3 linked regions of the Struthio camelus genome follow. The protein of the gene in region 3 interacts with the protein of the main gene of each other region in a pairwise test. Links are inferred from orthologs where the notes say so. Each region holds a gene or a part of one and is shown on either strand. Other genes may lie near its edges.

Region 1 (6,872 bases), on a different chromosome or scaffold from region 3:
CAAGCAGTGTGCAGGGGGTGCAGTTTGGCCTGCCGCAGCCCGGCTGAATGCAGCGGTGCGCGCTGCACCTTGCAGGCAGCACGGCAAGGCGCTGGGCGCACGGGGCCTTCCTGTGCCCTGGCTGTGTCTTGGGGGCCAGCACCAACTCAGGCCCATTCCTGCAGACGGGCATGAACGGTCCAGCAAAGACGCAGCGCGCACAGCACCGTGCTGCTGCCACGCGGGGCTCCAGGCCCCTTCTGCTGGCAGGAGCAGGGGGCACCCCCCGCAGCGCTGCTCGCCGGAGAGGAGCCTGCAGACCCCCTGCTCCGTGCAGACCTGCAGCCTTTGGTGCAAGCTCCCTGGGCACATGAGGAGCAGAGACCACTGGCAGCCAGGGAGTCCCCAGGGATTTGACCCAGTTTTCCTGGCACAGGGGTGCAGCTCCTGCACCCCGCGCCCTCCTCCTGGCTAGGAGCAGAGCGGGTCCAGTAGCCAACGCAAAACGGTCACTGCTCCTTTGCCCTCTGCCCTGCCACCAGGCTCCTCCACTGCCCCTCGGCTCTGCTCAAAGCCGGTGTCAGGGGCCTTAAACGCCAAACGCTCCTGCACGAGCCAGAGGGAAGATCGATCGTCTGTGGCTAGGAGAATAACAGATGTGACTAGAACAGGAGCCAGGCTGCTGCTGTTTGTCCCTCGCAGAGCACAAGGACAGAAGGAGACGTGGAAAAGCAGCGTATCACTACGGGACAGGAGGAGAGGATTTCCCTGCCGGGGGGTCTCCAGCCAGTGGAACTCACTGCCACAGGAGCAGAAGCGTTTGCAGAAGGAGATGCATGAGATGTGGCTATGGCCAAGAGCACGGTCGCGGGTTGCAATGCCCTCCATGGGCTTGAACTCCCCAGGGGGCAGGAGCCAGCCCCCTCCTCGACCCAGAGCTCCCCCACGCCCCCGAGGGCTCCAGCCCCGCTGCCTCGTACGGCCCAGCTTGGGAGTGTGCAGGGATGCATCCCCGGGCCAGACCTGACACCGCAACCTCAGTGGTAACCTGCTACGGGCCAGCTCTGATCCCCCTCGTGCCACACAGCAGGGCAGGGCCTCCAGGGGGATGAAGGGGGAGAGTTGTGCAGGGGATCCCTGCGAGGAGGATGCGACCACCCGGAAAACGCAGCCCCTGGGGAATTGCTCTGGGCCCAGATGCCAAGCGGGAGGCAGGAAGGAGCAGAACAGCCATGGCAAAGGCAGAGGCTGTGTCCTCCCCACCGCGCTCCCCATGACACCAGCGCAAGGTCCCACCACGACCCAGGGACAGGGATGACCTGGGAAGCAGCCACGAGACCTGCTCAATGTGGGTCAGAGCCAGCCAACGAAGATGTCCAGCATCCCAACTAAACCTCAGCTCCTCTGGTCCTCAGGGCCTCCCTAGGTACCCACCACCACCACCATCACCTCCCACCCTCCATCCAGCTGCCGAGACCCCGCTGCCCCATGCTGGGCCAGCCTGGCTTGGCCACCGCCCGGCCTCCCCACCCTGCTGGCACGGCTCCCATCCAGCCCCACACACCCCATGGCCCCCAGCCTGGGCTGCACCCCAGCCCTGCCAAGCCCACCAGCAGGGCTAGGGGGTGAGAGCCTTGCCGCGTCCACCCTCCCCGCTCTGTGCCAGTCCGGCTGGCAGCTTGGCCCTGCCGCCTCCAGCTCCTGCAGGACCTGCTGGAAAGGTGACCTGCGTCAGGCTGCACCCGGGCCCGGGCACTCCTCCCGCGGCGGAGAGGGGCCTGGGAGCCACTGCTTTTAGCAAGCACCATGTTTCCCCACGTTAGACCTCGGAAGCGCCGAGCCTGCTCGGACGGAGCAGCTCGGGCAGGTCTCTGGGGCGTCTGCCGAGAGCGAACCAAGCCAAAGCTCCTTCCCCACGCGCCAACAACAGGGCTTCCCATCGCAGGCCAAACCTGGCTGGCAACCCCTTCCCTCGCGCCAGCGCGCGCTGAACCGCCAGGCCCCCCCGAGAGCACAGAGCCGCCGGGCCCGGGAGGGCCTGGTTTGCGGCGTGAACAACAGGCAGAGCCCCCAGGAGCGTTGCGGGAGGGACGGAGGCGCAGCGCGTGTCAGGAGAGACAAAGAGACGCCAGCCGGTGCCGCTTCCCCGCAGCCCCCGGGGACGCGGCGGGGCAGGGGTCGGACCCCGGGCGGCTCTGCCCTCCGCGGCGCGGGGCTCCCGGCGGACGGGGAGCGGCTCGGCCCGGTTCGGCCCGGCCCGGGCGATGCGGCGGAGGCTGCTGCAGCGCTAATCGCCGCCACGGGAGCTGCGCCCGCGCGGGGGAAGGGCCGCTCGGCGCGCACGGCCCGGACGGGGCCCCCGCGCCCCCGATGGACCGGCCCGGCCCGGCCCGGCCCGCGGCAGCAGCATCGCTGGGCCGGAGCGGAGCGGGGCGGCGGCGGCGGCTCCGCGGCCCCAAGGTGAACGGGGAGACGGAGAGCGGCAGCCAAACTTCCCGCAGGACGCGGGGCCCCGCTGCGGGACGGCGGCGCCGGGCGGCCCCGCTGCGGCCCCCCCGGCCCGGCCGCGCGGCCCCGGTCCCGGTCCCGGTCCGGTCCCGGCCCGCAGCCAGCGCCAAGGGCGGCGCGTCGGGCCGAGCCGAGCCGGGCCGGGCCGGGCAGAGCCCGCAGCGCAGCGCCGCGCCCGCAGCGCGGCCCCAGCGCCCCGGGCGGCACCGCACCGCACCGCACCGCACCGGGCCGAGCCGAGCCGCACCGGGCCGAGCCGGGCCGGGCCGGGCCCCGGGCCGCCCCGCCCCAGCCCCGCCGCCCCACGCACGCACGGCCGCGGCGCGGGGCCGGACCGGGCCGGGCCGAACCGAACCGAAGCGGGCCCGGGGCTCACCTGCAGCCCGGCGGGGAGAGCGAGTGGAAGGTGGAGAGCGAGAACATCTCGGCGCGATCCGCCATCTTCTCCCGGCCGGGGCTGCGCCGGACTGCGGAGCTGCGCGGGGCTGCGCGGGGCCGCGCTGCGGGCGGGGCCGCGCGGGCACCGGGGCGGCGGCGGCGGCGGGAGCGGCGGGGGCGGCGGCGCGGAGCGGAGCGGGGTGCGCGGGGGGCCGGGGCCGGGGCGGGCGGCGCGCTGGGAGCCTTATAGCGAGGGAGGAGCTGGGGCGGTGCGGGAGGGGCGGGGGCCGCCTCGGGGGGAGAGGGGGCTGCGGGGGGAGGGCGGCTGTGGGGCGGGGGGGTGGGGATAGGGGGCTGTATGGGGAGGGGAGGGGGGACGTACGGGGAAGGGGAGAGGGGGGATGGAGGGGGAGGATGTGTGGAGAGGGGAGGGGGGATGTATGGGGAGGATGTATGAGGAGAGGAGGGGGGATATATGGGGAGGGGAGAGGGGGATGTATGGGGAGGGAACGGGGGGGTTGTATAGGGAGGGAACAGGGGGTGTATGGGAAGGATGTATGGGGAGGGGAGGGGGATGTATGGGGAGGGAACGGGGGGATGTATGGGAAGGATGTATGGGGGAGGGGGATGTATGGGGAAGGGGAGAGGGGGGATGTATGGGGAGGATGTGTGGAGAGGGGAGGGGGGATGTATGGGGAGGGAACAGGGGATGTATGGGGAGGATGTATGAGGAGAGGAGGGGGGATGTATGGGGAGGGAACGGGGGATGTATAGGGAGGGAACGGGATGTATGGGAAGGATGTATGGGGAGGGGAGGGGGATGTATGGGGAGGGGAAGGAGGATGTAGGGGGAGGGGAGAGGGGGATGTATGGAGAGGGGAGAAGGGGCTGTATGGGGAGGGGAGAGGGGCTGTCTATGGAGGGGGGCTATATAGGGAAGGAAGAGGGGGATGTATAGGGAGGAGAACAGGCAGAAGTGTATAGGGAGGGAAGTGGGGGATGTATAGGGAAAAGAGGGGTTGTAAAGGGAGGAAGAGCAGGGAGGACTGGGAGGCTGTCTATGGAGGGGGGGACTGTATAGGGTGGGGAGAAAGGTAAGTATAAGGAGGGGAGAGCGAGTGGTATAGGGAAAGGAGAGGGGGCTGTCTATGGAGAGAAGGGGGGATGTATAGGGAGGGGAAAGAGGGCTGTATAGGGAAGGGAGAGAGCCATATAGGGAGGAGAGCAGGGAGGAACGGAGGGCTGTCTATGGAGGGGAGAGGGGGTTGTATAGGGAGAGGGACAGGGAGGAGTGGGGGGATGTAGAGGGAGAGGGGAGGGGGCTGTATAGGGAGGAGAGCAGGAGGCAGTATGGAGAGCAGGGGTGTGTTCAGGGCCACAGGGGCTGTATAAGGAGGGACAGGAGGCTGCACAGGGCTGCTCTGCGGGGAAATGCAGAGGGCTGTGCAGGGGCTGCGTAGGGGGGGCACAGGGCTACGTAGGGGCCTGCACAGGGGAGGTGCAGAGATGTATAGTGAGGTGCAGGATTGTGCAGGACTGTGTAAGTAGGTGAAGGGTTGTATAGGGCAGTGTAAGGCTGTGTAGGGACCATGCCAGGAGGGCTATATAGGGCGGTGCAAAGCTGTACAGGACTGTGCAGGGCTGCATGGAGCTGTGCAGGGGGCTGTACAGGGAGGTGCAGGGTCATATAGGGAGGTGCAGGGCACCACAGGGCCATGCAGGGGGCTACATAGGGCTGTATAGCAAAGTGCAGTGCTGCATAGGGAGGCACAGTGCTGCATATGGAGGTGTAGGGCCGTATAGGGAGGCGCAGGACTGCATAGGGAGATGCAGGGCTGCACAGGACCATGCAGGAGGCTATATAAAGCCATGCAGGGCTGATTAGGACCATACAGGCTGTATGGGACCATGCAGGACTGTATGGGGCCATGTAGGCTGTATAGGACCATGCAGTCTGTATGGGGCCATGCAGAACTGTATAGAGCCATGCAGGCTGTATAGGACCATACAGGTCTGTATGGGGCCATGCAGGCTGTATAGGACCATGCAGGACTGTATGGGGCCATGCAGGACTATATAGGGCCATGCAGGCTGTATAGGACCATACAGGACTGTACAGGACCATGCAGGCTGTATAGGACCATGCAGGACTGTACAGGACCATGCAGGCCGTATGGGGCCATGCAGGACTGTATAGGGCCATGCAGGACTGTACAGGGCCATGCAGGCTGTATAGGGCCATGCAGGTTGTACAGGGCCATGCAGGCTGTATAGGGCCATGCAGGCTGTGCAGGGAGGCGCCGCGCTGCGCAGCCCCGGGCCGGGCCGGGCCGGGGCGGGAGGCGGCCGAGGGCCCCGCGCGGAGCTGTCCCCGCCCCGGTGCTGAAGCCCGGAGCTGTCCCGGCGCCGCCGCTGCCGGCCCGGCCCGGGGCTGCTCCCGGGGGCTGGTGCTCCGGGCCGCTCTCGGGGGCTGCTCCCGGGGGCTGATGCAGGGCTGATCCCAGGGGCTGGTACCGGGCTGATCCCGGGGGCTGGTACCGGGCTGTTCTCGGGGGCTGCTGTCAGGGGCTAATGCAGGGCTGTTCTCAGGGGCTGCTCTCGGGGGCTGCTGCCGGGGGCTAATCCTGGGGCTGATCTCGGGGCTGACGTCAGGGGCTAATGTCGGGGGCTGATCACAGGCTAATCTCGGGGGCTGATTGCGGGCTGGTGCCAGGGGCTGATGCCAGACTGATGTCAGGGCTGATGTTGGGGACTGCTGTCGGGGGCTGATGCTGGGGCTGACGCCAGGGCCTGATGCCGGACTGATGTCAGGGCTGATGTCGGGGGCTGATGCCGGACTGATGTCAAGGCTGATGTTGGGGGCTGATGTCGGGGGCTGATGCCGGGGCTGATGCCGGACTGATGTCAGGGCTGATGCTGGGGGCTGATGCCCAAGGCTGATGCTGGGGTTGATGCTGGGACCTGCCCAAGGCTGTAGACCCACTACAAGGCAGGGGCATCTGGGCCAGCTGGGCCCGGGGGTCAGTTTGCCTTGCAGGGATCAAGACAGGTGGGGGAGTCTGGGGATGTGGAGGAGCCATATGGGGCCCTGCAGGACCCCGAGGCATTGGGGGGGGGTGTCTGTGCAGTGGGGGCAGGGTATAGTGGGGGTCAGAAAGTGGAGGGTGTCTGGCGCACTGTGGGTGCAGGGTGCAGTGAGAGGGGCCAGGAGGCAGTGGGAGTCCAGGAGGCAGTGGGGGAGGCCAAATGCAGTGGGGGCTGGAAAACAGTGGGGACACAGAGGCACAGGGGGTCTGTGCATTGGGGAGACCCAAAGGTGGTGGGCCCAGTGGCAGTGGGGGGGGTCCTATATAGTATGGGGCACAGAAGGCAGTAGGGGGATCTGGGGAACAGCAGGTCCCCAGAGTCAGTGTGTGTGGGGTGTGGGGGGGTCCGTGCATGGGGGAACAGGATGCAATGGGAGGCCCAGTAAGCGGTGGGGGCACCAGAGGCAGTGGGTGTCAAGGGGGCTGTAAGAAGACATACAGGAACTGGAGGCAGTGGGTGAGCAGGATACAGCAGGGGGGATCTGAAGGCAGAAGGGATTCAGGATGCAGCACGGGAGTCTGCGCGCTGGCGGGCAGGTGGCACTGGGGGTCCACAGGCAGTGGGGCCCAGGGGTGGTGGGCCTGGGTGCACCCGCCCCTCTCTGCAGCTGCCCGGCCCGTGCTTGGGAACTGGCTCACAGCAGGATTGCTGCAGCTGCTCCCGTGGGACCGCCGGGCCAGCCTGGCCAGGGCACTGTGCTGGGCCCCAGGGACCTGTTGTGCGGATCCCCCTCTCCGACTGCTTGCCGCAGGCCCTGGCAGCTCCAGGGCAGAGGGCTTGGACCGGCGGGGCCCCGCTCGGTCCGCTGCCCTTGGGCCTGACCGGAGGCTGCAATGCCGCCCCGTTGTGCACACCGTATCCTGCAGAGAGGCTGCACTGCAGGGCCTGAGCCACCATGTGGGGGGGGGGGGGGTGCTGAG
Region 2 (7,571 bases), on a different chromosome or scaffold from region 3:
AATTAGACATGCTAGCCCAGGCCTGTGGCCTCAAATGAGCTGACTGCATGTTGCAGGTCCATCAAATTGTTTTACTTGATGTCCAAGTGTTAGGTGTGACCTAACAATCTTCCCCAAGGAACAGTTCTCTGGGGTTTTGTTTAGATTTTTATTTTACTCCCCTTACAGTGAACCTACTTGGGAGGAACAGCTCATTCTCAAATTCCCACACCTTGGCCAGCCAGTGCATTCCCATTGCAGGCAGGGCAGCCTGCCTGGCTCCTCAGGGCAGCTGGATGGGGTTTCCCCTGTGCAGAGGGTTTGATGGCAGCTAGCGGGTCACAACATCAGCAGCATCCGGAGAAAAGAAGTTGGGTACTGACAGGCATGAGAGAGGCATCCAGGGCACAAACAAAAGGTTATTAATAGACTTTGCTATCCCAGATCATTCCCAGCTGCAAACATGCTGGATGCTTTTCCACAGCAGTATAGGCCACTGTGAGAGAAAACTGTCTCATGTTGTCCCTGGAAGCATTTGTCCTTTGACTGGCAGCTGCAGCGAGGGGGACTTGGGGGAAGCCATGCTGTGCTCCAGCCGTTTGTCCCTTCTTGTGCCAGGAGGCTACAGGGCTCTGGTGGGCATGAGGCGTGCTGCAGCAGTTGCCATGCAGAGCATGGCACAGCCACTGCTGCTCTGCCTCAGGTGAGGGAGCCTACCAGGGAATAAAAAGGGGGCAATGCTGAGGGATTGATTTGGTATCAGGTGCATGGCTATCAGGGCTGGGCACAGCTGTTTGATCCCAGTGCTCAAGGATTCCTTAAGGAGACTTGTCACAGTCTGTTTCACATGTTTAACATGTCCTGGGGCCTTTGATAGGGCACGTAGCTTTGGCCTGTAGACCCTGCAGCCCTCTTCCTCTGCTGACAGCTGGAGCAGAAACCTCAGTCATGGTTCTTTCTCTATTGAGAGCATGATGCACTGGGGCACAGTTGTCCCTGGGAGAAGACAGGACCCAAAGGAGGGTCACTGGGAAAGTGGACTGCTTCTACAGCAACAGGAGACTTTCTACTGGGAGAGGGTCTGCCCTGAAGTGAGAGAGGCTGCTGTGCACGTAGCAGGGAGAAAGCACCCTCTGAAGCTCCTGCCTTGACTGCCAGGGCTCCGCAGGAGCCAGAGCAGTAAAGCAGGGTTGCTTGCTCTCTGCAAGAGGTACTACTGTGCCAGGCCTGAGGAGCTGATGCGGTGTGGGCCCAGCTAAGGTAGGAGCAGGGCTGTAGCACTCTCCAGTGAGTGCCTGGTTTAGATGACTACATCCCACGAGCTGGGCCAACTAGTGACAAGCCACTAGAGGTCCTGCATAGTTTGGAAGCCAGATTTAGCCTCTGCTGTGCTGCTCTCCCTGCTGGTCTGGAAGGAAGCTATGCTTCCCAGCACAGGCATCTCACTGTTCTTGCCACAGGCAATGGGCTACTATGCACGTGAGGGGATAGGTGTGAACGGTGCTGGTGCAGCTAGGAAGGCTAAAATGAGTCTACTGCCAGCCTGGCCTGATGCCTGGACTGAGTGGGGGGCTCAGTGCGCTTCGCTTCCCAAAGCGAGGTGAGATGCATTCGTGGTGATCTGCCCGCAGGAGGCGGAGGCAGCCTTACCTGCTCCCCAAGACAGAGGTCAAACCCCACAGCCATGCCACGGATGAATTGTGTTTCAGTAGCTGAGGCTTGTGCTTTAAGATGGAGCAGTGTCAAAGCTCTCCCAGGCCCTCAGTGGAGGGCAATGAGTTGTAGGTGCTGGATGGAAGACGGCTTGTTCTGTGTATGCAAACTGTGAAGGGTACGAGTAGCACCCCTTGGGAGGCTGCCCCAAAGGTACCTGCAACGGCTGAGCTGGTGGTTACATGCCTGACTCCATGCTGGCCCAGGAGTAACATCTCTCTTGAGTTTGGCAGAAGATCAAGACTCCCAAGTGAGAGCAGGGTTCTGTGCCTTGGAGGGCTCTGCTTGCTCTTCTCTGTAGGAGCAGCTGATATCCTGGGTCTTTGCCAAGAAATTAATACTGTTGTCTCAAAGACAATTAGTTCTGTGGCTTGAGAAACAGTGATGCGACCTGTTGTGTCTTTAAAGTTTGAACGGCTGAGGCAACACTGCCCGCTGCCTGCCCACCCACTCCAGGACTGCCGTGGGCATGTGCGTATGGTAACTGGGAGTGCAGTGGGCATGAAGGGAATATTAAAAGTTCACCTATTCATTTATCGCATCAGCTTTGGGACCTAGAAATACTGATGTCCACTTCTGTGCACAGCACGCCTCTCAGTTTTATGAGATAGCCTGCAAAGCATGGGAAGGAGAGATACGGGAAAGAAACCTGCTGCTCAGGCTGGTGAAGAAAGGTAGCAGAGGGTAACGCTCTGTCACTATAAGACAGGTTTGGCTCCCCTGAGCCACAGTGGGATGCAAGAGTAGGTCTGTGTGCTCTGGAGAGAAAGCTGGGCCCTGGAGATGCACTTTTTCCCTTATGGGTATGTGGAACATGTGAAATCGGCCTTTTAAGTCCCCTTGATTGGCTTACAACCCTCCTAGGCTTTGGCGGCATGGGGGGACAGAAGACAGGGTTTGCAAGGGAGTGCAGCCTGTCCTCCCCCTGGGGCTGAGGGCTGCTACTCAGCTCTGCCCGCAGCAGCCTCCCCCTGCTCCCTCGCCCCCCCGGCCTGCCCCACTGGGTCGGGCCCCAGGGCCCCAGGAGCTCTGGACATGTCCCGGGGGCGCTGCCTCCGACTGCGGGTGCATCTGACCTGGGGGCGCTATGTCCAGCTGTGGGCACATCTGCCCTGCAGGCAAGGCCGGCGTTGCCCGGGGAGGGGTGCGGCGCGGCGCTGCCTCCAGCTGCGGCACATCTGTCCTGCAGCTGCCGCCCGGGGCCGTGGGCAGCAGCCCCCTGCGCGCCTCCCCCGCCCCGTCGGCAGGTGCATCCCTGCTCGCCGGCCCCGCCAGCAGCCCCCTCCCCTCCCTCCTTCCTTCCCTCCCTCCTTCCTTCCCTCCCTCCCTCCTTCCCTGCCTCCCTCCCTGCCTCCGCCTGCATGGAGACAGCCACAGAATGGCGGAGCGAGAGAAAGGAGCCGCATCCCCGCCCGCCTCCTCCCCCTTCCTGGGGCTGCACCTCGCCTCGCCCCCCAATTTCAGGTACCGGCCGCCTCCCCCGGGTTCCCCCCCCCCGGGGCATGGGCTGCCCCCGCCGCCCCGGGCGCCGCTCCCCGTGCAGCCGCTTCAGCCCCGCATGCACAGCTGCACCCCCCCCCGCCCCGCATCGCCCCTCGGGCCCCCCGGCGCGCCCCCAGCCCATGCACCGCCTCGGCCCCCCAGCCTCCCGCTTGGCCCCGAGCCCCCGGCCGCCCTACCTGTCTCGCCTCCTCTTCGCACATCTCTTCCTCATGAAAAAGCTTCATCTTTCTCCATCTTCAGGAAAGCCTCTTTCTAGCCCTTTCCAGGAAATCCCGGGTGCTTCCCCTTCCCCCTTCCCATCCCTGCGAAACAGGAACCCAAAGCGAGGAGGTGTGAGAGTGCCAGAATTGATCCACTCGGAAATACTGAGCACTCCCATTGATTTGGGATGCAGGGGGCTGTCTCTGGGCTGGAACCCAGCGGGGCAGCTTGCCAGGGCTCCTGATGGCCATGGCAAGGCCAGGTGTGGGCAGAGGGGCCGACCTGCGGGGCCGGGGCCTTCGGACCCACTGGTGACTCCTGAGAGCAGCTCTGGGACGGGGCTGTACTTGGTGGATGAGGGGCATCTTGGCTATCGCCTGGGCGGGCAGTGCCTGGCATTTTTGTGCTTGCTGTCGGGGGGAGGCTCAATGCTTGTAGCAGCTTTAACATCTTCAGCCATTGCTCTCTGCTCGTCTCTGGTGCCCAGGGGTGCTGCTGTGGAGTTGCTTGGGAGCTGCATGAGAAGGGGTGGTCAGTACCAGGTGATTTATGCAGTGAGATTTTGGAGGGGGAGGAGGGGAGAGCGGGTGGTCCATGCTTGGGGTGACAGCTGAACTTGTCTCTGCCTCTGCCAGGCCCCAGCCTCTGAGGCTTGGGGACCAACAGGACCCTGGAAGGAAGTAGATAAATGCAGTCAAGCTATGGCAGGTTTAGACATTTTATCTCTGAAGGTCTCTGCAGACTTTTGCTTCTGGAGACCCTTCGCTGGGTAGCTCTGTGGGCTTCAGCAGCCTCCTCCTATTGCAGTGCTGCCTGTTAGAGCTGCTGGAAGCTATTGCAACATGGCTGGATAAACCCTGCAAATTGAGCAATTAAATACTGCCTCTGGAAACGTCCACTGTGGAGAAGCAAGGCTTTGCCACAGAGCTGGGTGATAGGGGCTGAGCAGCCGAGCTCCGCTTTGGTCTGTTAAGAGTCTCGGGCTTGCCACGCGCTGCTGTCCTAGGTGCAGCATTTGTCTCCTGGGCACCTGCCCTCTCCCAAGGAAACAGCAACGCCCCAGGAAGAGAGAACAAGGTGCTGCTCCTTACTGTGACTCAGATCTTTAGAAAAGGAGCCCAGCACACTGGCATCCTTCCCCTGGGAAGAGTTGACAGTCTGTCAGGGGAGACGTCAGAGCCATGAGGAGAGCTGGGAAGTCATGGCCGGATGGCAAGATCGTCTCCAAGGCCCCGAGCTCGGCATCAGAGTCTTGAAATGGAAGGAAATAACTGTTGTGTCTCCGAGCCTGCGACAGGGTTTCAGAAACCAGAGGTAACGTTGTGGTTGTGAGTGATGTGCAAGGGTGACACCCGCCCCCCACTGTTGAAATATTGTTTGCAAGATCTGTTACCTGGTGCAGCTGGGCTTGTGCATAGCCAGCCGTCTGACTTTCCCAGGCTTTGCTTCCTTGCCGTAGCAGCTCAGCAAGTGGAGCAATCCTCCCATAGCTGGTCCCCACAGCGTTGCACTGGAGCAGGCAACTAAGAGCATGGCTCAGGGTGAAGAATCAGCCTGTGGCAGGAGGCAAAGCACTCTGTGAACCCTGTGCCTTCCCAGAGCGTGCTGTAGCCAGGATGAGGTATTTCACCTTTTTTCCCTTCTGGTATGTGTGTCTACTATTCCAGCTTCTTGCATGCCAAAATACAGGCCCAAGCATTAGAAGATCTGTTGACTTTAATCTAGAGAGGATTCTGTCCTGGCCAGCAAGGGACATGATGGACTGAGGTCCAAAGCACTGATGAGGCTGTGGGTGATGCTTTGGCAGGTCCCCATCACTGGTGACAGTTTGGCATAGTCTGAGAAGGCAATGAAGGACGTGAAGGAAGGTGAGGTGAGCCCTCCTTCAGCAGGAGAACCCTTGGAGGTGGCTTCTCTCTGCAACAAGAGCAACAGCATTTTAAGAGAGAGAAATACAAAAGTTGTTCTCACCCATCTTCCACGTTATCCTTAAGCCTCTTCGTCGGGGGTTTCGCCCAGCTGGACCGCTTAGCGTCTCTCTCTGGGAGATGGTTTCTCAGCTCCTCACTCTGCCAAGAAGCTTTGTCAGCATTTCAGGCCAGGTTTCCTGTGATGTGCTCTCCATTCCCTCTCCAGGCCAGGGGTCCTTCTGCCCTGTGGCCTGGCTGTTACCATGGTGGAGTGTAAGAGGCCATGCAGGGAGGGCTGCCATGACTGGGGCCGGGATCCAGCTGGGTGCAGGGCCCTGCAGTGCTCTGCTTGAAATCTAGGCCAGCCATGCTGCCCCTGTGCCCCCTAAGTCCAGCTCTTGGGTTGGTGCTAGCCATCAGCACTGGGGAGGAGCTGGCAGCAGTGGGGTCAGAGGGAAAATGCTTCAGCTGATCTTTTGTCAGGTATGCCATGGATAGTTGGTGTGAGAGTCATGCCTTTTGAGCAGGAGAAGAGGGTATAGGCATTCACTGGGAGCCAGGCTCTCAGCACTGGCAGCCCCGCAGTGAGCGCAGCTCCAATATAGAAGAGCTGCCCTTTAAGTGGGCTGGGTGCCAGGGTGTGGGACCTTGTGGGTCAATGGTTGATCCTTGTGTATCTGCTTCTGAGTCCCCTAATAAAAGCAGAGAGCATCCACCTGGAAAGCTTCTAGAGAAGGAAACCTTAAGGGAGATATTTGCATGGGTCACAAAAGGGGAGGAAAACTACCCACCTCCCCTGGGAGCCTGGCTGTCTATAAGAAATCACAGCCATTTTCATGGCCGTTGCTGGGGCCTTGCGAGTGAAGAAAGTCCCTGGGGGAAGGAGACCTCTCTCTGTCTCTTCAGGAAGTTGAAGGAAGCATCTTTAGGCTGAGGCAAAAATCAATCCTAGCACTATAGGCTGTTTTACCTGTCTGCTGTACACATTTGGTCTGTCTGAATAGCCTGTTCAGAGGCGATGAGCTGGGCGTTGGAGCTGGGCTACCCTTCTTTTGGTAATAGAAGACGAAAGTGCTGCCTTGCTCTGAGGGAGAGGGAGGTAGCTTCTCTTTGGTTTAAACAAAAGAGTGTCTGGCTCTTGTGATGGAGGGAAAAACCCAGGCCAGCCAAACGTAGGAAAGTACTTTATTTTGCTCTAACACTGGGTGCAGGACTTCTGCACACTGCTGCCTCCAAGCAGAGTGCCAGAGTAGCATCCGGACAGCTGGGGTTGTAGGAGCCTCCGATCCATAATGCCGTGTTGCCCTGGCCAAATCCCAGCTCGGGAACACTGCTGGGTGCCTGTCGGCCGCCCTGCAGCGCCCGGGCAGCATCGGTTCCCAGCATGCGCTACGGAGACAAGACCCAAACGGCACCGAACGCTCTCCCGCGGCTGTTCGCCAGCTCCTGCCCCAGCCTGGGCTGCACGAAAGCAGGTGGGGTGAGCAGAAAGGCAGAAACGGCTCTTGTTAAGGTGCAATATTTAACCCTAGCTTTGCTCCGTGGGGCTCCTGCCACGGTGATGGGGTGAGGGCCCGTGGCGCGGCGTCGCTGGCAGACCACGGGGCCGGGGCCAGGAGCAGCCTGCAGGGCAGCGGTCTGCACCAGGCCCCCGCTGCCCGCGCACCGGGCTCAGCCCCCACCGGCGCCCTCAGCCAGCGCGGACGGCCGTGGCTCTTAAACCAGGCGATGGCGATGTCCGTGATGAAATGAACGGAGCAAAAAGGGGTGATTTGCCGCCGCTGAGCGCGGCGGGGAGCTGGGTGCTGCGTCCCCTGCCTGCCGCCACCAGCCCCCAGCTCCGTAGGTCCACGAGCATCACGCTCTCCCCGGGGGATTCGGTTGCTATGGCCATTAAACAGCGCTGTCTGAGCAGCTGCTGGCTGGCGGTAGATACGCTGTGAGCGGTGGCCGCCGGCCCCACGGTGCCCCGGCCCCACAGCGCCCCGGCTGGCTCCCGCGCTGCCTCTCGGCCCCTTCCCTGGCCCCGATGCAGCCGGGCGCTCACCACGTCCCGAGGGCCGTCCCCAGCTGTGGACACCTCGGGTGGCCTTGGCTCCCCCCGTGCCCGGCCCCATCTCCGCTGCCGCCCCTGTCCCCCCCAGCCCTTCCCGCTGGAAGGGCCCGGGCTCCCCCGGCGCCGGTTGCCCCCTGCAACAGGCTGCTCCCCGGGGCACGGCGCGCGGACAGCGCCTCGCGCTCCTCCTGCTGCTGCTGCTGCTGCTC
Region 3 (7,169 bases):
TCAGTGCAGGTGGTATTCAGGTTTTTAGAATAAAGCAGTGATGGGAATTCTACATGCTTATTTGATAGTGGCACCCAAAGGTCTAATTCGGATGAAGAGTTAATTGGATGGAACACTGTACGAATATAATTAGGCTCAAAGATGGTTAGTTTAATGAAAAGCATTGCTTGAAATATCCTTATGCCCTCTATATTTAGAAAAAGTGCAACATGGGCAGTAATGATAGCAGATTCTTTAGCCTGAATTTGAAAATATGACCCATACAGAAGCACCTTTTGCTATGAAAAGTTATCTGCTTTTCTGTAACATATATGGTTGAGGGTCCTGGCTGCAATTGCCTCCCTTCAGAAATTGGTCAGATGCTACAGATTTTTAAATCTCCAAAATAATATTTCTCTTTCGTAGACTTAAGATATTCTATAATATGGGAGATCTGTTATTTTTATGTTTTTAACCATTAAACAAATCCCAGAGAAAACGATATATTGAATAACTTTCTTCAAATTTGATCTGATTATGATACTGTTAAAACCTAAAAGTCACACTAAAACTGAATGCTGTCCACAAATCCCTAGTCTTTCACTGTTTACCTCAGGACGAATGTGAGAAGGTGACAAGTGTCTTTAAGGTACTTTTTACCCTTCTGTAATCCTGGTTTATGGGGATTTAAACATCTCTGGCATAATAAGTAGTCAACAGACTGCTCTATCTCCTATATAGTTGTCCAGGGATCACTGGGAACTAGGAAAATATAGACACTATAGTGTTGTACCTCTCTCTCTGCCTGGTATGCACTCTAGTTGTAGTCTGCAGTAGGATCTGCTCTGGTGACCTTGACTTGTGTTCGGTGTGCGTGAGGATTTTATAGAGGGAAGTCAGCTCTAACCAAGTGCTTCATAATTGTGACTCTGACTTTATGTCTTGTTCTGCAACTTTATCAATCTGTGAGTTTAGATAAGAAGTAGCTGTTGTACTATATAACAAGAGTAATAGGAACTACTACACTTAACAATTACATTATCTTTTTCTTTGCAATCCTGTTTGCTGTCTCTTGCAACTTAATCCTTAAAGAAGCAAGTTAATGTCTGCAAGGAGATATTAGGAAAAAAAGGAAGAAATTGGGAAGGAGGAAGGAAAAGGAAATGGCAGTTAAATCCTGATTCATGTTGTGATAAGTGAGAGTATAGTAACAGAAATAAAGGGAAGACCGTCATGTACTTTAAGAGAACAGTAAATGGCTTTTGGTGCTGTGGCTCTAAGAGCAAAATTTAGCATTAATGTGCTAAATTATCAAATTTCATCAAAATTATCATCAAAATTATCATCAAAAATAACTTGGTGCAGAAATGGAAAAGTGCTGGCGATAACAGATTATATAATTTCTTTTGAATCTCTACTGATTATAGTTAATACTTCAGTTTTTGAAACAGTTATAATCTGATGACGTTTGGAAAAGCTGAATAATAAGTAAAACAGAAAAAAGTTTCCTGTATTTTGAATGTGTGTTGTAAGGAGTTTTATTGAAGCTAGTTTACCTGAATTGATTTAAAAGATGAAAAAGTTCCTCTAAAGCTAATGTATTACTGGATTTGTGAGAGCTGTCAAAGCCCAAACAAGATGAAAGCAACAGTGATTATTGGCAATGAGCTGCATAAAGGAACAGATATGACTAAATCGTATTACAAGGTGGCATGGTGGGATGCCCATGTTAATTATTGAGGATGTACATGTCTGTCTCGAATTCTCACTAGGTCTCTTTGCTGTATATGGAGAGAGGTCTCTAATTCCGCAACATGGCTCAGCAGAACTTTTCTCTGTTAGTCTTTACTTCTGCAGTTCTTAGCGTCTTCAGTGGAACCAAATGCTTTTTTTCTGTTTGCCTGCAGGATGATGACAGCTTTTTAAATGAGAGCTTTACCATTGCTATACGTGCCTTGCTCTTCAGATTGACAAACCTTGAAGACCATTCAGAAATGGCAGCTGATAAAAATTCAGGAGTTTGATTGCCTGAAAGGTTGACTTGAAAAGTAGCTGTTGACTACAATGACTTCTTGCTTACTGCTAGGACAACTAAATATATGCTTTCTAAAGTCATCCACGGTTTTTATCACCTTTGCTTGAAAAGCACCTTATTTTCTTCCTGCAATAGATCAAGGCATCTGATGTTTCACTTCGGTAATGGTTAAGGGAAAGTGATGACTTACTGCTGATAAATGTCAGCTGAAACTGCTGAACTTCAGAGTTTTCCCTTGTTAGTCTAACAGAACCAGAGTTTAACCTTTTGTCCCAAAACTTAGATTTTTTTTTTAATCCAGAAGAAAACTTTTTAACTGTGACTAGCGGATTTCATCTGAACATTTTATGAACTGAAGACATACTTATTGGCATGTACTTGATCATCCATCAGCTTTTTGCAGGTAGGTGGCAACAGTAATATATCAGGACTGCTGACTCTTCACTTCCTTTCTCCATTGTGTAATAATTAACTGGGTATTCAGCTTAATAATTCAAAGGTCTAAGGTTTGAGGCTTGTTCTCTTAATTATTTCTAGTGAGTATTTTGACTAAAACGCTACAATATGAATAAAATATAACTTTCAGCTTAAAATGAGGGTTCAAGCTCATGGCCTTCAAATTAATAAAATGGCTCTTCTGTTGTACCTAATCAGCCACAAAGGATCGTGAGGATTTTCATTAGTATCTCTTAAACTGTTTGACATGGAGAGAGACAGCTCTAGCTTTTCTGGAAAGGTTAAATATTAAACAGTCATTCCTAAAGAACAAGAGGAGTTTTTAATATCGAGGTGAATATGGCATGTAACTTCCTCTTTACTTCTAATGGCTTGTGACTCTGACTTTACAATGGTGCTTAAACACAATTGTTTATCTTAAAGAAAAAAGCAATGAACCACCCCTCAAAGCCTTCTAAGAGAGCAGTAATTACAATGGGTATGTTGTACAGCTCTGTTTGTATACATTGTTTCAAACTTGCAGACAACTGTTCCAGTGGAAATGTAGGTAAAATGGGTAAAGAATGTGTTCCAGTTTCTTGACTATGCACTTCAGCTTTCAGTGTAGTGCAGCTGCACTAGAAACTGAAGTGTTATGGATCTGAAGCTTCTTAAGTTAAGCACCATAAAAGTAACTTTCCTGTTGCTTATAATTTAAGATCTTATCCTGAGCAATGTTTATCACCCTGTCTTCAAAAGAGTAAAACAGCAGGAGGTACCCTTTACCGTGATAGGGTCTTTAGAGGTAGCCTAATCAGGAAAATCTGAAATGCTTAAACTGTGCAGTATATAGTGATAGTAACTTCTATACGCAAGAAAGAGCGATGAGAAGGAGGAGGAATTCAGTTAAATATCTTACAAAATACAAAACAAGCCATTAAGCTGTGTTTTGATGTTCAGCTTTTATCTCACAGTGCTCTATTTTGTAAAGTAGCTATAAAAATAACGTTGTGTGCTCTCCTGATGATAGCTCAGCTAGGGTTCAATCTGATGAAACGTTGGCATGAACAGTAAAGTCAATTTAAGAATGCTGCACCCCTACCGCTGATTGCAGCGCTCTCAGGCATTTGTGGGACTGTGCTCTAAGTCAGGTACAGCAGTCGGCTCTTTGTTGAGGACCTGCAAAGAGGGGGACAAAAGGGAGGGTAAATTGCAATGCTTCAGCTTAGAGGGAAGATGGATAAAGGGAGCAGGGTGGACTTCTGAAGCCAGTTACCTTGCTTGCCAAAGTCTGTGCTCACTGAACTGTCCTCTATCTCATTCCTGTGAACAGTGCCTCAAGGAGGAGAGATTTAAAAAAAAAAAATTTTTTTTCCCAATTATTGTAATCCTTTTGACCTCATGTGTTCATGAGTTTGGTCTCTTCCTGTCAAAGTAGTTTTGCAGGTTGGCTGAATCAGGTACTATTTTCAAAGCTAACACTTCGAGAATTGTTCCTTAGTGATCCCTTAAGAATTGCTAAAATGTGACTTATCTCAAGCTACTCTACTTTCTTCATTCTTATTTTCTCCATTTAATTGAAAATTAAACTAAACAAACATTCATACTGTAAATATCTCAATATACAGCTAAGTGGTTGGTATGCACCAGGTATAGGGGTATAGGATATATTTTTGTCATGCACTAAATATCTTTCTTCTCAGAAAGACTTTGTTTCATCGGACTGTTGCTGTCTAGTCATCTTCTTCAACTAGCGTGAAGACTTGCTCACAAAGTTCATGCAGTAAGACCATATTTTCAGCTTTTCTATTAAGTAGGCAGTGGTTAATCTCTAGCTCTCTGAAATTCATATCAAAACTATAAGATTCTATTATCTGCAAACCCTGTGCTGCTAAACCATGTTCTCTTTTCCTTAATGTCATTATCATGTTTTTGGCCTGGAATTCAAATTAATAAGCCACTAATCTGAAGGATTATTTATCTTTTCTCAGGTGCTTTGGAAGGACTACTGTTGTGATCTCTGGAGCATTTGATTCTGGCTCTTAGAGGAACAGGAGGTAACAGTTCTTAGCATGAGGGAGTCCTACTTTGAAAGATGTTTAGTCTGAACACAGCTGAAATTCACTACTAATATGGTTGTTTGGCTTCTGCCCCACACCAAGGACAATATGACAGACAGTAGATACTGTTGTCTCTTTGGTAATTAACTCTTTGAATTCTGTGGAAAGGGAGAATGAAAGTAACTTGTGGGACAGGCTAACTTGAATAATATATTAAGGAATAGTAATCTTCTCTCTTACTAGGTTTGCTCAGTGTTATCTCTTATAACATCATGTTTGGATTTGCTTATAACAGTTGCCACAATGAATGATATACTGTTTTCCTGTCCCTGCCTTTTATACTTCATATTTTTCTCTCAGAAGAGGTTTGGTAATTTTCTCTTGGATTTTTCTAGCTCTCATCTGTGAAGTACCTCTGATCTTCAGCTAGTTTTATGCATAGAAGGTGATGCACAGAGGGATTACGGTTGTTAAAATATTTGCAATGCTGCACAGGCTTGGATGACAGAAGGAAAGTTGTTGGAAAAACAGCAAGATGACAAGGACTTCAGTCTCGCTTTTTCTTCAGCATAGCTGAATCATCGCGTGTAAAGGATGTTGGAAGTTATTCCAATCCCTTCTGTTTCCCTTGTGAGTATCCTAACAAGTTTTAGACAACAAGTCGTTTGGAAATGCTTCTTTACTTCTCATTTCTCTTCAGCTACAAATCCCATATGTTGCCGCCTTGTAGGGGAGCGCATACACTGAAGGGCCAGGGCACTGGAGCAAAATAGAGATGCTCCAGTCCTCACACAGGCAGTGCAAAAGAAGTCTACTTGCAGAAAAGTAAGTACTAAGAACTTTGGTAACCAGAGATGTAGCTGGGGCAAGACTTCCCTGTGCTGGGTTTGTGACTATGTCTCCAGCATGGGGCACAGGGACATGCAAGCTGGACGAGACAGTGCCAACCAAAGGGATAGTGGCAGGGGCAGATTTGGAGTTGTTTAATATCTCTTCCCTTCTTTCCACCTTCCAGACAGGGACACCCTCTCATATCCATACTATTATTGTTAAACTCCATCACAGGCCCATTGCTGGGAGTGAGGGGAAAGCACAGGGGGTGTTTGGAAGTTCATTTTGTGAGCCTCTCTCTGCTAATCTCACTTTTTAAGTGGCAGTTACCAAAACAGTGCATAGTTCTCACGTGCTGCTTTTGAGTTCCAGGGCACTGTGATCCAATTCCAGGTTAAAAGACAGAAGTGGTCATGTACTGCTGAGCAGGAGACAGTGAGGAAACCTCTCACCATGATGCCAGGTGCATTGTGTAGTCCTCACTTTGCGATTTCTGTTCTGGCCTGATTCACTTCTTTTGGGTTTAATGTTTCTCACGTTCACGTGGACTGGGGATCCACCTTGGATCCAGTGTGTTTGTCTTCTAGAAATGTCTCTGAAGATGAGGTTGCGTTAGGTGCTTGGGAGCCATACCAGCCAAGGCCCTCTTTTTCTTAGTTTGAGGTTAGATGGATTTTTTAAAATCCTTGAAAAAATATTTCCCTGACAAATAACTGCCATTGTTTTTAACACTGTGAAATGTGATGTGGCTAATACGAGAAGCTTGGTGAGCTCAGTGCTGTTTTCTACTTTTCTCCTCCTTCTGTTAAGGAGTTGAAATCAATACTGGCTCTCTACCTAAATTCCATCCAAGCGCTCTAAAACATGACCTTCCTATTAATGGAAACTCCTGCTCACGCTACGTGCACCTAGAGAGATTAAGTTGTGAAGTCCCAATATGCATCAGTACTGTGGCCCCCGTGCATACCAAGGAACTATGTCTGCTCCCTCTGAAATCTGATGGCTTTGATGCAAACTCAGTTGTGCCTCAGGTGAAGGTAAAAAGAAAATGCCTTAAGAGTCCCTCCTTGCAATAAATAGCCCTATAGGAAAGGAGGTCTCTAACACACACGTATATATTGTAGGTTGCTCTAAAGCAGAGATCTGTTAAATAAATAGGACCCTTTATGTGGTAGGATAGCAGAGATGGATGAAATCCAAAGAATGAACTGTTGCTGCTGGGGACTACTACCCAGGCAGAGACTGGGTCATTTTTACTTTAGATTTGTATGTGTTGTCATACCAGTATTCTCTCAAAACACGAGCACATCTGTAGGTAGCCTTGCTTTAGTATGACTTCAAAATAATAATAATAATAGAAGAAAGCTTGCCATGCTAAAGGCATAGGATTTAATGATGAAACTTCCATGTGAAGCTGGAAACAGATTGTAACAAAAAAAAATGTTTTCTATTTGGAAAAACCTGGGTTTATCCAAGGACAGACTGACCACAAGATTACTGAATGCCAGTGGCAATAACAGCTTTACTAGTTAATGCACTGGGCAGATCCTCAGCCCCTGCAAACTGTCCTAGCCCTGAGAAAGTTCAAAAGAGACAAATTTACATTCAGGTGCATATCTGAATTTATTTATTCAAGTGAACATATCTTGTTCTTTTATTAGCCATCACCTTTTTGTCTCTGTCCAGTAATACATCAACTGTGGTGTTTCTATCTGGCTGTTAAGAATTGGCTGAGTTTTGATGCTGTAAATTAGAACTGAACCCTGGTCAAAAATCAAGCCTTTAATTTTTAACTTTGTTGGTTAGCAGGCATCTTTTAATGTGTAAGC

Evidence for each region. The genes of interacting proteins can lie anywhere in the genome.
Region 1: the proteins of LRP2 (region 3) and MAPK8IP2 interact in a two-hybrid assay, tested with the Homo sapiens proteins (2 studies listed by BioGRID). The link is inferred for Struthio camelus from reciprocal best matches to the Homo sapiens genes LRP2 and MAPK8IP2.
Region 2: the proteins of LRP2 (region 3) and MAPK8IP1 interact in a two-hybrid assay, tested with the Homo sapiens proteins (2 studies listed by BioGRID). The link is inferred for Struthio camelus from reciprocal best matches to the Homo sapiens genes LRP2 and MAPK8IP1.

What each region holds. Positions count from the first base shown.
Region 1 is NC_090942.1:659,623-666,494, forward strand, and holds the start of MAPK8IP2 (C-Jun-amino-terminal kinase-interacting protein 2), read right to left. Parts: upstream 3,002-6,872; 5' UTR 2,929-3,001; coding exon 2,864-2,928; intron 1-2,863. UniProt on the Homo sapiens protein: The JNK-interacting protein (JIP) group of scaffold proteins selectively mediates JNK signaling by aggregating specific components of the MAPK cascade to form a functional JNK signaling module.
Region 2 is NC_090946.1:40,385,056-40,392,626, reverse strand, and holds the start of MAPK8IP1 (C-Jun-amino-terminal kinase-interacting protein 1), read left to right. Parts: upstream 1-4,570; 5' UTR 4,571-4,597; coding exon 4,598-4,710; intron 4,711-7,571. UniProt on the Homo sapiens protein: The JNK-interacting protein (JIP) group of scaffold proteins selectively mediates JNK signaling by aggregating specific components of the MAPK cascade to form a functional JNK signaling module. Required for JNK activation in response to excitotoxic stress.
Region 3 is NC_090947.1:23,838,005-23,845,173, forward strand, and holds the start of LRP2 (low-density lipoprotein receptor-related protein 2), read left to right. Parts: upstream 1-4,168; 5' UTR 4,169-4,232; intron 4,233-4,440; 5' UTR 4,441-4,506; intron 4,507-4,904; 5' UTR 4,905-5,139; intron 5,140-5,209; 5' UTR 5,210-5,334; intron 5,335-5,712; 5' UTR 5,713-5,803; intron 5,804-7,169. UniProt on the Homo sapiens protein: Multiligand endocytic receptor. Acts together with CUBN to mediate endocytosis of high-density lipoproteins. Mediates receptor-mediated uptake of polybasic drugs such as aprotinin, aminoglycosides and polymyxin B.